Arabidopsis thaliana: one gene and its partners. The protein of the gene in region 2 interacts with the protein of the main gene of each other region in a biochemical or structural test. Each region holds a gene or a part of one and is shown on either strand. Other genes may lie near its edges.

Evidence for each region.
Region 1: the proteins of AT3G03770 (region 2) and AT1G72460 form a complex in vitro, tested with the Arabidopsis thaliana proteins (one large-scale study listed by BioGRID).
Region 3: the proteins of AT3G03770 (region 2) and NIK1 form a complex in vitro, tested with the Arabidopsis thaliana proteins (one large-scale study listed by BioGRID).

Annotation. Positions count from the first base shown.
Region 1 is NC_003070.9:27,277,627-27,282,372, reverse strand, and holds AT1G72460 (Leucine-rich repeat protein kinase family protein), read right to left. Parts: upstream 3,033-4,746; 5' UTR 2,864-3,032; coding exon 1,967-2,863; intron 1,878-1,966; coding exon 840-1,877; 3' UTR 543-839; downstream 1-542.
Region 2 is NC_003074.8:944,567-950,953, reverse strand, and holds AT3G03770 (Leucine-rich repeat protein kinase family protein), read left to right. Parts: upstream 1-1,715; 5' UTR 1,716-2,075; exon of another isoform or gene 2,076-2,158; 5' UTR 2,159-2,250; intron 2,251-2,451; 5' UTR 2,452-2,517; coding exon 2,518-3,853; intron 3,854-3,947; coding exon 3,948-4,081; intron 4,082-4,174; coding exon 4,175-4,415; intron 4,416-4,511; coding exon 4,512-4,717; intron 4,718-4,790; coding exon 4,791-4,834; intron 4,835-5,002; coding exon 5,003-5,114; intron 5,115-5,193; coding exon 5,194-5,506; intron 5,507-5,628; coding exon 5,629-5,651; 3' UTR 5,652-5,877; downstream 5,878-6,387. Other genes in the region: LBD20 (LOB domain-containing protein 20), read right to left, coding at 6,281-6,387.
Region 3 is NC_003076.8:5,221,935-5,227,830, forward strand, and holds NIK1 (NSP-interacting kinase 1), read left to right. Parts: upstream 1-1,999; 5' UTR 2,000-2,329; coding exon 2,330-2,453; intron 2,454-2,637; coding exon 2,638-2,770; intron 2,771-2,859; coding exon 2,860-2,931; intron 2,932-3,035; coding exon 3,036-3,179; intron 3,180-3,274; coding exon 3,275-3,346; intron 3,347-3,445; coding exon 3,446-3,505; intron 3,506-3,589; coding exon 3,590-3,687; intron 3,688-3,770; coding exon 3,771-3,920; intron 3,921-4,005; coding exon 4,006-5,069; 3' UTR 5,070-5,354; downstream 5,355-5,896.

The DNA.
Region 1 (4,746 bases), on a different chromosome or scaffold from region 2:
AAGCAAATGTCATTAGATTTGTCGATTTAATAATCATCACGAAATTTTATTTATTGCAACTTTATACCCATATATATACCTTGATTTGATGCTTGAGAAATTCACCCAAGTCATATTTGTTTGTCCTGATTCAATGTGCATTAGATTTCTAATTAATGCCACTAATTATAATATTGTATCCTACCTATTAATATTAGATTAAAATTGTCATATTAACACAATAATACAATATATTCGTACTCGTATAATTTTTTTGTTCATAGAATATAAGTGATGATTAATAATCAAAATGCAGTGATGGGTCTTTTGTTGTCTGCTAACTTAATTCTGGCCATAATTTAATTAATTCTATGATAGAAAATAATAATAATAATAATAATTTCACGATTCGTTAATCTACAGCTGTGTTTAGCTGTCATACAATTCAATTTATCATTTTTCTTCTTCATCACGTACGACGTATACACAAACACGTGATATAGGCATATTATTGGTTCGTAATTCGTAACTTTCATTGATAATATAATCGATAATGGTGTGTGTTTAATACCAAAATTTACAAGTTGTAATAAAAACAGCAAATCGCTAATGATGTGTGTTTGATTAATACCAAAGTTTACTAGTGGTAATGAAAACAGCAAAACAGACTGATAACTAATCTATGCACAAAACGTTACAACACACATTTTTTGTTTACAAGTAGCCTTAAGTTGACACATTAATCATATACAAATTTAAACAGAAAAACAAGAAGTGGCAAAGTGAAAAAAAAACAAAAAAAAAATCCAAAATTGGTGAATCTGCATGAATCTAACGGTTGGAATTGATCGACGGTGAAGCTAAGTTTCTATGGTGATAAAGTCGTCGTTAGAATCTTCAATAGTCAGTTCATCAACGACTTCAGTCATATTCGGTCTCTGATCTGGATCTTCTCTGGTACATCTCACACCGATCCTTAAAACGTTCTCAATTTCCTCCTCCATAATTTTATCTTCAGCGGCGGCGGTTACCACCATCGGATGAAGCAGATCCATCCAACCACCTTGTTCCAATGCGGAGCCTAACCACTCAACCAAATTTGCCCCACCGGCTCTGTTCAAACCAGCGTATTGAGACGGGAATTTTCCGGTCAAGATCTCAAGTACCACGACTCCGAAACTAAATACATCAGATTTCGCAGAGACGGTTCCATCACGATCCGCTTCTGGAGATTTAAACGCGACGAGAGATTGAGATTGAGCGTCGGGATTGATTAGTTTTTGAAGTCCAAATTCGGAGATGAGTGGCTCGCCGTCTTCCGCAAGAAATATATTGCTTGATTTTAGGTTTCCATGTGGTAGGTTTAGAAACCCTAATTCTCTATGGAGATACCACATTCCCCTAGCGATTCCTTGAATGATTTTGAGTCGAGAAGGCCAATCTAATTGAAATTCTTCGTGGTCTCCGTGTAATCGGTGAAGCAAATTCAAATTAGGAACAAATTCGAACACTAGCAATTTCTCGTCTTGTCGGAAATGGTAAGCTAGGGGCGTTAATACGTTCTTGTGTTGCAAGCTTCCTAGTTTCCTAATCTCCTTGTCGAATACGTCAACACTCACTTGATTCATTACCGTCACACGTTTCACCACTACCGTGACACCGTTTGAAAGAACCGCTTTGTAGGCAGATCCCACGCCTCCGCTACTTCTTGGACGGTTGCTTCCACCGCCGGGATTACCAAGCACGTGAGCCGCCGCTTTCATCAAGTCTGATAAACGGAAAACACCTTTTTCCTTGTTCACCATAACTAGGTCTGATGTCCCCGCCACTCCTTTATTCAATTCGCCGGACCGACTGCTCCTACTCTGCCTTGAGCTATTTGATCCCTCAACAGTTACCTGTCTCAATCATATCAAAATTTTGTGTGATTTTATAGGTTTAAAAACTCTCATTTGAAAATGTGAAAATTACGTGTAGTGGAAGTAACCTGAATTTGTTGGTCGTCACTATTGTCTTGTTCAGAGGTACGACGTGCCTTCTTCCTCCGTCTCTTCTTTTTCTTTTTTCTGAAAGCTAAGGAGACAAGGACGACGATAAGAAGCACTCCTAATGTGCTGAATGCTAGAAAGTATTTGCTCTTATTTGCATCTTTCATTGTTCCTTCTATCGTTATGGATGCAGTCGAATTTTTTGGTTGTGGGCATGGAGTGGATAGCTTGGCACCGCAAAGGCCAGAATTCCCCGCAAAAGTCTTCGCGTCGAATTTCAACAAACCGGGAGGTATTTCTCCGGTTAGTTGGTTGTTTGATAGATCAACAATAGCTAAAGTCGTTTGTGTGAAATTAGGTATACTCCCGATGAATTGATTATTTTCGAGGCGTAACTCAATGAGATTTGGCAATGTAGTTGCCAATGAGATAGGAATGAGACCAGAGAAATGGTTGTTTGACAGCCAAGCTTTCTTTAGCGACACCATTGTTTCGAAATAATCAGAAGGAATGTTACCAGAGAATCGATTTCCTGATATGTAAAGCGACTTCAGAGCGGTTAATCTGTTAAACTCGGGTATGTCACCAGAGAAAGAGTTGTTCATTATGCTTATGGTGCGTAAAGATGGTAGGTCTTTTAACGGAGCGACATCAACTTTTCCTGATAGACCCATTTGTTCGATCTGGAGGCCAAAGACAGAGTTTTTGTTGCAGAGTAATCCGATCCATCGTTGGCTTGCTCCACAAGGTTCTGACTCTGGTGTCCAAGAATCAAGAGACTTGGTGTTGTTTAAGGACTTCTTGAATTTCAATAAAGATTCTGATTCGGTTATCGAATTCGCAGAAAGTGCTGTTAGAGATAGCACGATTGGCCAGATTAGCCAAGCCACGGCCATTTACTTAACCGGAGCTAGGCCGCCGGGAGTTTCAAGCAACTCTTTTTTTTTTTTGATTAATCAAAGTAGTTTTTTTTTTTTTTTTGGTGATTCGATTTACTAATTTTTCTGTATTCCTTGTCTTGTTTCTCGCTTTGTCTCTGTTTTCTCTGTCTTTTGTTTTTCTTTGTCATTTGTGATCCATTGGATGAGAGGAACTTAGGAGCTTATGGCGCGAATGTTCGTTGAAAGAGTCAAGAAGATTGAGAAAAGCAAGAGCGAATAAAAAATAAGCTAAAGATATGCATTTTTGGTTGGCCCATATGAATAATGTTGATTTTAGTTTCCAAGCCCAAACTTGGACAAAGTTGATTATCGTTTCTATAAATAATTTTTAAACCGTAGAAGTGACTTAATTACAAGTATAAGTGTTGTAAGAACAACTATCAAGTAAAAGTGTTGTAAAACCAACTATCAAAACTATATTTTTTACGTGTTACGTGTGAAAACTATTAAGTGATACTCCAAATTTTGCCATACTACAAGATAACGCATGTAAATAAATTTTATGGGAAAAACAAATGGTTTTGGCATTAGGACCAAGAGCATATAATCTTAAAACTCGTACAACATTTGGTTCAGTTCTAGCTAACGTGACCTTTTAAGTGGACCACTTCATCATTTGGATTTTCCTCCTGATGCTTAGTTATGTCGGATTTCTAATTTACTCACTATAGCATGACAAAAAATGTATCCCTATGCCGAAAAAAGAAAGAAATTTGATAAATGTAAAACAAATTGACGCCACCAAATGTAATCATCAATCAGTTTTAGCTTTTACAGTTCCTAACTATTTCCAAATATGAGAATATCGAAAGAATAGTTATAAGTTTCTTATGTATCATGAGTAAAATACTCTAATACTCAATTACTCATGATATTATATGCAACTAAACAAAATATTTGTCTAATCTATTAATTTTCTGTAGACCATGACATGTATTCTAATGATTTGACTTAGTGTCCTTGTTGTATTTCTATCCGGTTTCAATTATGCAATTGTTGAAAAAATGTTATTCCTGTTCCGCATGTAATGGATACTTATTAATATGCGATAATCTTTAGGCACATATGTTATTGTCATAGTACAAGAGGAGCATGTGAAGAAGCTGCAACATTTTGGTGTTCACATCCAAAGTATCTGTCGGTGTCAAAGAACCAATTTGTTTTAGTCATTGTTGTAAAACGGACCTACATTCGTAGTCGTTACCCCTAAATTTTAAACAAATTTTATGTTTAGTATTGTCATACGTCAATGCAAATGAGTTGTATAATCTTTCAATATTGTCTTCTAATTTTATTTTATTTTCTGATAAGTACCATTTTATTTATGAAGATAACGACTGTACAGAGAATTCCCACCACAAGCTCAAGCTGCAAGACCAAACTTACCCGAAGACAACCTGTTACAGAGACACGCTAGCTCGTAACACTAGATAGAAAGGAAATCTTACCCAGCTCAAAGATTAAGTCTGAAGCACACCTAACCCAAAACTGTTGACACCATCTTGATTATGTCCATATATGAACTTAGGTCTCAAAACAACAACTATTTATTTGATAAATGTTGATATACTCTATTGCTTAAAGGAGAGTCCAACTTCGAGTGGTGACCGGAAGGTTTCGCCGTTGCCTTTTCTTTTTTGCCGTTAACGTTGGTTTGGTAGTCTTAGTAGAATCTTCTCACAATCTTGATTTTTGCATATCAAATCTGTTAGAATATGACATTCCCTTATTTTGGACATGATCAAATATGTGATCGAAACCCAACTTGCGCTTCCAACAATGTAGATAATCTTCATGTGAAATAGCGAATATTATTTGGTCTTTTGTATGTATTAGAA
Region 2 (6,387 bases):
ATAGTCGTATAAATGTATTTCTATGAAATAATCTCAAATTACTTCACTTAGCCAATAAATTTTCATAATATATTAATTTTATAGTTGCCAGTCGATCAATTTTCACTACCAGTTAAAATAGTCGTATAAATGTATTTCTAGCCGTTATTAATTTTCTTTTCGTCTACCAAATTAAAGATCAATCTTTTTTTGTTAAGGAAAAAGAAATCGAAATTGGAAATTACCACGTTCTATTTCGTATTGTTTAAAGTTGGCTAGTCGATTATAAGCTGCACCAACAATTTTTAGTTTTATTTAAACTATGATTGTATACGACGACATTGACTATTGAGACATGCAACCAACAGATACAAAACAAAACTAACCAAAAAATGAAACACGCAAAATGAAGGAAAAAAATAAGATAAATTAAAATTAAATATTTATTCCTAAACGATGCACAGAAAAATCTAACAGAAGAAGATGCTTATATAAAACCAGGTGGACTAAAATTTCACAGAATTTTGTTTTCTTATGTTTGTAAGCATTTACTTTACTTGTTTTCTTATACCTGCAACTATGAATCATATTAAAAAAAACTACAAGATTAATAAAAAGATGAATCACTCATGGCACGTGAGAGTAGTCAAGAGATTAAGACATCATGCCTTAGTTTCAATTTAATATGATTAAATACACGAGTTTAGTTTAAATTGTTTGTTAATTTGATTTCCAATTCCTTGCATGTTATTCTTTATTGATCATATTATATGTGAGCTAATTTGTTGTATTAAGATTGTTTTCTTGAACTTTGAAAAGGTCGGAGAAGATTGGGACCTACATGTGTCACTTTAAAAGTCTGGTGTGACCTTTCTGATGGAGATGCCTTCGTGCGAAAGCTTACATTACAGTATGTGTCACAACTTCGCTTTCTTTTTATTTTCACCTTAAATATATATATTACCTCTTTCAGATTTAAGTTTTTGGATGGATCTTTTTTTTTTCTTTCAGTTTGGTTTTAAGCCTAGTTTTTGATAAAATTCCGGTGTAGTTGTTGTGGTTTTTATGTTTAGTTTGTTTTCAGCTTTCTTACATGATCAAAATTCAAAACAAAATTAGAGTTACACTAATTTACTTGGTTTTGTTTACTCATTCTTGATTAATCTTGTTTAACTTAGCATACCCAATTAATTGATAGACAGACTTTTCTCAATCAAATTAATATTCATATAAGAAACTTTAAAAAAATATCAAAATTAAATCTATACTATATAAAGACTTGTTTGCCTCAGACTCGTATTTGTAGATCATCCCCCTAAAGGCCTAAACCCTAAAAGAATATTTCTCTTATCATTACCTTTTTATCTTTCTTTTTTTTTTTGTCTTTTTACTTTTTCTTGGCCACAGCTTTGGCTGGAGTGGATTTCTCTTTGGTCCCTATTTTTTTGAAAGTGATAATATAATATGAACATATTTAATGCTGATAAAATAATTTACTTTGTGTACTGTATAAATAGTGAGACAACCAAAAATAAAAAGATCAGAAAAAAACGTCGGCCAGACCCTGTTGGATTCGCTTTTTTTTTTTTCTTTTTTAATTTGTTAAAAATGCATGTGAACACTTACAAGATTATTTTTTGGACAAAAAAATTCTATTTCTATTTTGTTTGTTTGTTTTAAAATTATTTTTGTAAAAAGAATTTATCGTTGTCTTCATCTCGTGATGGAGACTTAGAGAGGAGGACCAAACTCTCTGTCGTTAGCCACTGACAATTTACTAAATCGTATGGTTGCTAAAATGTTTTTGCATTGATTTTACAGAATTTGTTTTTGTTTATTGTCTATTTAAAAAATAAAAAAAGTTTGTTGGGTTAATATTGTTCCCAGAGTATCCTCTGTTTTATTCTTATAAGATATAATAATCACTCGTGAAGGAATCTTGAATGTTTTTAAAGCTCCTTGAGGAACTTTCATCTCTTACAGAGGATTTTCTTGGGAACTTTTCTCACTTTCTTCTTTAAATCAAGTTGCTACTTTTTTTGTTTCTTTAGATAAAATCGATATTCCATTCACAGTTACTTCATAAGTTTGCAGAGGTATTTCTTCATCTCAAAGGAAACGATTTGTCTTTTCATTTTCTCATTCTTCTTACTCTGATGAAACCAAATTTTGTTTCCAGGAAAAATAAAATTTAATCTCTTGTGCTCAAAAGTTTCCTGCATCTTTTCTTCTTGCAAGGTGTCTTAAAGAGGAGATTCTGTAACACATGTGGTGAGTTCTTCCTGTTTTTCTGGAATTCACATGCAAAAATCATATTTTTTTAGTTTGAAGATTGATTTCTAAGATTCTCTTCTGTTTAATGCATTAACGAGAAAGTGGTTAAAATATCAAGATCTTGAGAGTGGACCCTGTTTTGTAAGTACATTATATATAAATGTGATTCTTGAATGAAATGTGTCTCTCTCTTTGCAGGTTTTGATGATGATGCTTATATGATTTTATTTAGTAGTTGTGTGTGTTTTATGGTCTTGTGTGGCTATGGAGAAACTCTATTGTGGCATGCCGTTACTGCTTCTGGTTCTGCTTTTAGCTTCCATTGATGGCTCTACACAGCTACAATCATCTCAATCTCAAACCCTCTTGAGGCTGCAACAGCTTCTCTACTATCCCAAAGTGTTAAACAGCTGGAACAACTATACAGATTTCTGCAATTCTGAGCCAAGCCCTTCGCTAACCGTTGTGTGTTATGAAGATAGTGTAACGCAGCTTCACATTATAGGAGACAATGGAACTCATATGTTACCAAAGAGTTTCTCAATAAACTCGTTTGTTACTACTCTTGTTAAGCTCCCTGATGTTAAAGTTCTCACGTTTGTGTCCCTTGGGTTATGGGGTTGGTTACCTCAGAAAATCAACCGTTTATCCTCTTTGGAGATTCTCAATGTGAGTTCCAATTTCCTCTTTGGACCAATCCCTCATGAACTCTCGTCGCTTGCTACTCTTCAGACGCTTATACTCGACGAGAATATGTTTTCTGGTGAGTTACCGGATTGGATTGATTCTTTGCCGAGTTTAGCTGTGTTGAGCTTGAGAAAGAACGTGCTTAATGGGTCATTGCCTTCTTCTTTGAGTAGCTTGTCAGGTCTTAGAGTTCTTGCTTTAGCTAATAACCGGTTTAATGGAGCTTTGCCTGATTTAAGCCATTTGACAAACCTTCAAGTGCTTGATCTTGAAGGAAACTCTTTTGGACCGTTGTTTCCTCGGTTAAGTAACAAGCTGGTTACTCTTATACTCAGCAAGAACAAGTTTAGATCTGCAGTTTCAGCTGAAGAAGTAAGTTCTCTGTATCAGCTTCAACATTTGGATCTTTCCTACAATACATTCGTTGGTCCATTTCCTACTTCCTTGATGTCTCTTCCCGCGATAACTTACTTGAACATTTCACACAACAAACTCACCGGGCGGCTTTCAGCAAATCTTTCTTGCAACTCACAGCTGATGTTTGTAGATATGTCATCAAATCTTCTTACCGGAAGTTTGCCTACTTGCCTTAAACCGAGTTCCGGCACTAGCAGAGATGTTGTCTATGCAAGCAACTGTTTGGCTACTACGAATGAAGATCAACGTCCAGTTTCTTTTTGTAGTAATGAAGCTCTTGCTGTTGGAATCCTACCACAGAGGAGGAACAAAGTTTCCAAAGTGGGTATTGCTTTAGGTGTAACCGCAAGCATTCTCGGGGTACTTCTCCTCGCCGGTGCCTTATTTGTGGTTCTTAGGAGATTAAATGCTAAGAAAACAGTGACGAAATCTTCCCCAAGATTGATTAGAGAGAATGCTTCAATGGGGTACACATCGAAACTACTATCAGATGCAAGTAAGAGGATAAAATATCTCTCACATATTGTCACATAGATTACATAGAACTTGTCTTCATTGATAACTTGTGCTGTAACTGCAATACTTTGAAGGGTATATCTCTCAAACAATGAAGCTAGGAGGGCTCGGTCTTCCAGCTTACAGGACATTCTCACTGGAGGAGCTCGAGTATGCAACAAATAACTTTGAATCCTCTGCTTTCATGGGTGAAGGTTCTCAAGGACAGGTACAGCAGTGAAGCTTCAATCTTTCTTTAGCTAGTTTCCATTTTTTGAACAGTTGAATCAAACAAGATTTTTGTTTTCATTGTTCTTTTCAGATTTATAGAGGGAGATTGAAAGATGGATCCTTTGTGGCAATTAGGTGTCTGAAAATGAAGAAAAGTTGCAGCACACAAAACTTGATGCATCACATTGAGCTCATCGCTAAACTGCGGCACCGTCACTTGGTTAGTGTGCTCGGGCACTGCTTCGAGTGCTACTTGGATGATTCAACAGTCAGCAGAATGTTCTTTGTCTTTGAGTATGTCCCAAATGGAGAACTCAGGACCTGGATTTCTGGTACCACACTGAAACATCATGTGTTTTAAGAATGAAGATGATCATTATATATTTTTTAATAACTAAATCGGATTGTTCTTGTCTCTGCTGTGCTAGATGGGCACATGGGAAGATTGCTTACTTGGGAACAACGCATAAGCGTAGCGATAGGTGTAGCAAAAGGGATCCAGTTCTTGCATACCGGTATTGTGCCTGGTGTTTATGATAACAACCTTAAAATGACAGACATTTTGCTTGACAATAACCTTGCGGCGAAACTCAGTAGCTATAATCTTCCATTGCTTGTGGAAGGTCTTGGAAAGGTAAATGACGATGTCAAAAGTTCGAATGTTTTTGTTTCTTGAATTTTGAATCTCTTTTGCTTTCCTTTCTAAGGTGGGGCAAGTAGGATCTCGGAGCGGACCTAAAGGCACTCCAAGGTGTGTAATAATCTTCTTTACTCTGTTTCTCATCAGCTTGTAAACCCGGTTATATGGTTTAATCCTCTGTTTCTCAAAAGAATCAAAAACGGTTTATATGGTTTAATCCTCTGTTTCTCATCAGCTTGTAAACCGGTTTATATGGTTTAATCCTCTGTTTCTTAACAGCATCAAAGACGAAGATAAAATCGATATCTATGATTTTGGAGTGATATTGCTTGAACTTATAGTGGGAAGACCATTGAGAGCAAAGAGTCAAGTCGATGTTCTAAAAGAGCAGGTAACACCATTCGATATATATGTAGCTTGATGTGGAATCGCTATCATCTACTTTAAAAACTCTTTTTTATTTGTTGTAGTTACAAGCAAGCATTTCAGCGGATGATGGAGCACGTAGGAGCATGGTGGATCCAACGGTCCATAGAGCTTGTTCAGACCAATCACTGAAGACAATGATGGAGATATGTGTAAGGTGTCTCCTTAAAGACCCTTTAGAACGTCCTTCCATTGAAGATGTCCTGTGGAATCTTCAGTTTGCTTCTCAAGTTCAAGAAGGTTGGCTACAAAACAGCAATCCCTCGAGCAATCTCGGCTCGCCTTCTCCTGCTGCTTCCTCTCTTCCTCCTCCCTCTCGTTTACACGTAACAACACTCGAATCTCCCCGAGATTCAGGTATTTTTGAACTCGATCTTTTATGATCAATTGATTCAGTTCAGAATAGAATTTGATTGTTAAAGATTTGAGATTGAATAAGTTTATTGATCTGAGACTTATTTGTGTGGTTGTAATTGCAGGATGTGAAGAACATGAGAGGTAGAGAGACGAGGGTTTTTGTTTGGTCTTGTTCACTGATCACTACTCTTTGGAAAGAACATAACCTTTTTGTTTGTAATTTGATGTTTGTTTTTGTTTTTTTGTCTTTAGTTGTGTTGAGCTTAAACGATCATAACAGTTAATAATATAGTTAATTTTTCTTATAAACTTTACTTAAAAGAACAGTGTCGGTTAATTTTTATTCTTCAAAAGGAATACAAGTCCAACAATGGTGAGATAATTTTGGAAAATTCAATCGTTTTTTCTTCCTGTTTTGTTCAGCGAAAATAAATTAAAATTGTATATAGAAATTGAGATGGAACCGATTTCTAGGGTTTAGAAAAGATTTGCTTGATTGATTCTTCTTGTCCAAGAAATCAAAATAGAGGATAATGGCTGGTGTTGGATCATCAAATCCTTTACTTATTTATTAATTTGGATTCGTATGTAAATTCAGTTAATTCCAACTAGTATGATAATTAACCAATAACTACATGCATATATCTCATTCAAATATTTCACGACAACTCTACATGTATAGTATACGTCTGCTGGATATACTTATTCTCTTTCTCAACATTATTATAAAAACGGAGATATATTTAAATTAAAGACAAACCCTAGGTAATACATTCATCTCCGGTGAAAATCCTCCGCCGGAAATATAACCTTCGAAGCCACCGCCGTCGATCCAACAGCCACCGAAAAATCAGCACCGCTCTCTTCCTCATCCTCATGCT
Region 3 (5,896 bases), on a different chromosome or scaffold from region 2:
AATCACGGGAAAAAAACTTTCGTGAGTTCATATAAAACTATGGCCAATAATCTAATATAACCAATCATGCAGTCTCCCTAACATGATTGAAGTTGAGACAATTTAGCTTCAGTGCCCTAGGCATAGGACTCAAGTTGGGAACCATTTTTCCCTATCTGCATTCTGCACAATAGTTCATGTCATGTTTTGTAATCTTATAAAAATTTATGATTTTCATTTTTGTTTCCCCTGAAAGTCACAGAACCCATTTACCATCAAACGTCAAATCAACGAGAAAAAGCATTAAATATTAATGATTGTTTCTCATAAATCGAGTTTTAAGAAACCGTGTCACGTGGAGACCAAACTATAAAAACTTGACTAGGAATGAAAGTAGTTCTTGAACAAGGAAATTTTATATATTGTTTGTTCACCACAAATTTAGAATATTTGTTTTTGTTTCTTTCCTTTTGGTTTACAGGTCGGTACGCATTGATGAAGATAACGATGATGTACGAATGTGAATATATATAGTTAAATAAATAGAACCTTGCAAAATCATTTTTAATGTGTGCTCCATTACAAGAAAAATAAATGATTCACATGTATTCTTACTAAGTAAACAACATTTCTTGATATAGTAAACACATATTACGTACTTTGTTGATCGAAATCAGAATCTAAGCAAATATTATTGTGTAATTTTTCTGTTAACCAACTTTTCGAAACAAGATAATTTGACGTTAAGTTTCAAAAATTTGGTTAAGGGAAAAATGAAATTACAAGATATATTTACTAGTTTATGTAATATTATAAAAAAACTTCTCCAAAATTTCAGATGATTGAAATCTTTAAAAGCCAGCATAACTATAATGAATGATGATAATTAAGTATTTCACTTAACCAGGTAAACCATATTCGTTTTAAGATCATATAGTAGTATATACTTCGAACAAATGCAAATGCATGTCATAATATTACTGCCAACTCACACATAGACAAAAACCCATGAAAACGACACGAGGTTTGGACAAATTGTAATGTCTTGGACTTGGATACTGGGTTATCTTATACATCTATTATTACTACACACTACAAAATATTGAAAATCTTATTGTGAATATAAATCTTGTAGTAGTCAAATAAAAAAAGAGTGGGTTAAAATATTTGCATTTTGACTATTAAGAAAAGGTGTTGTATTCTGAAATTTGTTATCTATACAGATTTGTTTTCCTGATGGAAGTTAAATGTGATCGTTGCTCTTAGTGGGATTTATCGAATTTATTTCTTTTAGATCTAAATTTTTTAAAAGACTATTATAAATAATTAACTTACAACATTTTTTTGAAGAAAAAAAAGCTTATCCTTCAATACTTGTACTAATATCTTCGTATTTCCACACATCGAGAAGACAAAGATGCTGAAAATTTGAGTGGGCAACAAAATCAATATAGTAGACAGAAGTATCTTGAGCCTAGTTTTTCATACAGTATAATCTTCTCATCGAAGTTCTCACATTCTCAAAACATATTAATCAAAAAAAAAAAAAAAAATTGCATACAAAAACATTCTATATACGGAGGAATTAATAAAGTCTAGCCTATGCATGACCAACCATGGATTGTTGGGTTCCGTTTACACCAAGCAATCAGTCAACAATGTGATTTAATCATACCCTTGAAACTTAACAACTCTTTTTCATCAGATTTCAACACTCGAAAAACAATCTATGTAAGTGTAATGTGAAATAAATTAAGAAATAGGAAAATGTAACAAAAACACTGTATATTCTAAACTAAAATTAGAAACCATAGACAAAAACATGACAGGGTGGCAGCTAGCAAAAGAACAGTAATCTAATTTCCTGCTTTACCCTTCAAAATTTTTGAAATACACAAAATATAGATTTGCTTTACTGACTATTCTTGTCGATTACAAGAAACAATATGGGCAAAATTATTTTTATAATATCTTTTCTTACAAATTTTTAATATAAATTTATTACTTTTTTAACGGTCTCCCCACACACAAACTTTATCGACAAGCATGCTATTCTAATTTCACTTTAGACTACCAATGAATCTGGTATCTCTATAAAGTTTGTATATCTTGTTTCTGACATACAAAAAAATAGTTTTTTTTAAAATAAAGGTTATGCTTTTGGTGAAGTGGGTTCATCTTGATGTTGAAATGTTTTTATACTTTAACCAAAATTGAAATGAAAAAAGGATAGAGATTTGGTTTTTTGATTCTTCCAATCTCACTCTCTCTGTCTTTCTCTCTCCATCAAATACCAAATTATCTGGAAGCTGAGTACATCTTGTTTTCTGCTCATTCCTCTGTTTCAACAATGGAGAGTACTATTGTTATGATGATGATGATAACAAGATCTTTCTTTTGCTTCTTGGGATTTTTATGCCTTCTCTGCTCTTCTGTTCACGGATTGCTTTCTCCTAAAGGTGTTAACTTTGAAGGTATATTCACTGTAAAGTCTCACTCTTTGGATTCTCTCTCTTTTTTTTTTTTTTACATTGTCACTTTCGTAGATGAAGTGTTTGATATTTGGTCTTTCTGGAATTTTTAGTTGATGGGAATTCAAATAAAAGTATATATTTCTTCTTGATCCAAACTAATATGGGAGTTTTTTATTTTCGTCAGTGCAAGCTTTGATGGACATAAAAGCTTCATTACATGATCCTCATGGTGTTCTTGATAACTGGGATAGAGATGCTGTTGATCCTTGTAGTTGGACAATGGTCACTTGTTCTTCTGAAAACTTTGTCATTGGCTTGTAAGTTTCACATTTTACATTGATACACTTATACTGTATATTACACTGATGAGCAAGCAAGGAAAACAATGATATAAATTTTATTACAGAGGCACACCAAGTCAGAATTTATCTGGTACACTATCTCCAAGCATTACCAACTTAACAAATCTTCGGATTGTGTAAGTACTTACTGTTCACTAAATGATTATTAAGTTTAAAATTTGATTAAATTCTTCTGTTTTGTGTGTGTGTGTGTGTTCTTGATGATTTTTTCCTCTTACAGGCTGTTGCAGAACAACAACATAAAAGGAAAAATTCCTGCTGAGATTGGTCGGCTTACGAGGCTTGAGACTCTTGATCTTTCTGATAATTTCTTCCACGGTGAAATTCCTTTTTCAGTAGGCTATCTACAAAGCCTGCAATATCTGTAAGAATAGTAAAAATTTGTTATGGATCTTTTAAATTTTGTGTTGTTTTTATAAGGAATTTGTGATCTTGATATGTCATGTTGTGTATCATCAGGAGGCTTAACAACAATTCTCTCTCTGGAGTGTTTCCTCTGTCACTATCTAATATGACTCAACTTGCCTTTCTGTAAGCTAATAAATCTTCAGTTTACATTAACCAGTAAAGAAATTCATATGTAGAGACATGAAATGTTGAGATTTGATCTGTTTTTTTTTTTGTTTCCAGTGATTTATCATACAACAATCTTAGTGGTCCTGTTCCAAGATTTGCTGCAAAGACGTTTAGGTAATTTGATTTATTGACAATGTCTCACTCTTTCACTCTCTTTGTCCGTATGATAACCTTTCATTGTTTCCCTTCGGATTACAGCATCGTTGGGAACCCGCTGATATGTCCAACGGGTACCGAACCAGACTGCAATGGAACAACATTGATACCTATGTCTATGAACTTGAATCAAACTGGAGGTAAATAACGAACTTCCTTTAAAACTTTCAATCTTAGTATTATGATCATACCTAACTAACAACAAACTGCTTTCTTTTTTAAGTTCCTTTATACGCCGGTGGATCGAGGAATCACAAAATGGCAATCGCTGTTGGATCCAGCGTTGGGACTGTATCATTAATCTTCATTGCTGTTGGTTTGTTTCTCTGGTGGAGACAAAGACATAACCAAAACACATTCTTTGATGTTAAAGGTTTGATCTTACTCAGTTTATTACTTGCACAGAACAATCTTATAAAGTTTTTTTTTTTTATAAAGAAAGTTCTTTTATTCAACAGATGGGAATCATCATGAGGAAGTTTCACTTGGAAACCTGAGGAGATTTGGTTTCAGGGAGCTTCAGATTGCGACCAATAACTTCAGCAGTAAGAACTTATTGGGGAAAGGTGGCTATGGAAATGTATACAAAGGAATACTTGGAGATAGTACAGTGGTTGCAGTGAAAAGGCTTAAAGATGGAGGAGCATTGGGAGGAGAGATTCAGTTTCAGACAGAAGTTGAAATGATCAGTTTAGCTGTTCATCGAAATCTCTTAAGACTCTACGGTTTCTGCATCACACAAACTGAGAAGCTTCTAGTTTATCCTTATATGTCTAATGGAAGCGTTGCATCTCGAATGAAAGCAAAACCTGTTCTTGACTGGAGCATAAGGAAGAGGATAGCCATAGGAGCTGCAAGAGGGCTTGTGTATCTCCATGAGCAATGTGATCCGAAGATTATCCACCGCGATGTCAAAGCAGCGAATATACTTCTTGATGACTACTGTGAAGCTGTGGTTGGCGATTTTGGTTTAGCTAAACTCTTGGATCATCAAGATTCTCATGTGACAACCGCGGTTAGAGGCACGGTGGGTCACATTGCTCCAGAGTATCTCTCAACTGGTCAATCCTCTGAGAAAACAGATGTTTTTGGCTTCGGGATTCTTCTTCTTGAGCTTGTAACCGGACAAAGAGCTTTTGAGTTTGGTAAAGCGGCTAACCAGAAAGGTGTGATGCTTGATTGGGTTAAAAAGATTCATCAAGAGAAGAAACTTGAGCTACTTGTGGATAAAGAGTTGTTGAAGAAGAAGAGCTACGATGAGATTGAGTTAGACGAAATGGTAAGAGTAGCTTTGTTGTGCACACAGTACCTGCCAGGACATAGACCAAAAATGTCTGAAGTTGTTCGAATGCTGGAAGGAGATGGACTTGCAGAGAAATGGGAAGCTTCTCAAAGATCAGACAGTGTTTCAAAATGTAGCAACAGGATAAATGAATTGATGTCATCTTCAGACAGATACTCTGATCTTACCGATGACTCTAGTTTACTTGTGCAAGCAATGGAGCTCTCTGGTCCTAGATGAAATCTATACATGAATCTGAAGAAGAAGAAGAACATGCATCTGTTTCTTGAATCAAGAGGGATTCTTGTTTTTTTGTATAATAGAGAGGTTTTTTGGAGGGAAATGTTGTGTCTCTGTAACTGTATAGGCTTGTTGTGTAAGAAGTTATTACTGCACTTAGGGTTAATTCAAAGTTCTTTACATAAAAAATGATTAGTTGCGTTGAATAGAGGGAACACTTTGGGAGATTTCATGTGTGAAATTTGGGAATTCATGTTTGAGAATGAAATTTATCTTATTATTGGATCCAACTCCACAAGTTAAAAATTTTCATTAATGCAAACTAGTTTCATTGTTTGTTTTGCACACACACCTGACCTACTGATAGGAAAAGGTAAAGTGAAAAAAAGAAGAAATGTCTCTCATAAAGACAACACGTAGTTCATATGTTGCCAAAACTTAAACGGAACTTTACTTTCGTTTTCAATGGATGATGAAACGTCGAGAATGTGTTTTCAAGAAAACGGCATGAAGTTGTTCTCTCCGTCAAAGAAACGACGTGTTTGTGTATATAAGGAAACACCACGTGGACGTGGACCGTCCATGAAATATAAAAACGGCAATAATCTATGTATACATGGTTCACACTAGATTCAAAGTCACACTTTATACCTACAAATGGAAACGTTCACACAATAGCTTCATCAAAGTCAGAATCACATATAGTGATATGATTTGGTTTGATAACATTAACAATATGCAAAGTCAAGAATTACACGCACATTCTATACGTTTATATGAAAGAAAAAGACAGTTAAAAAGCGAATCATATCTGCATAATTGCATCT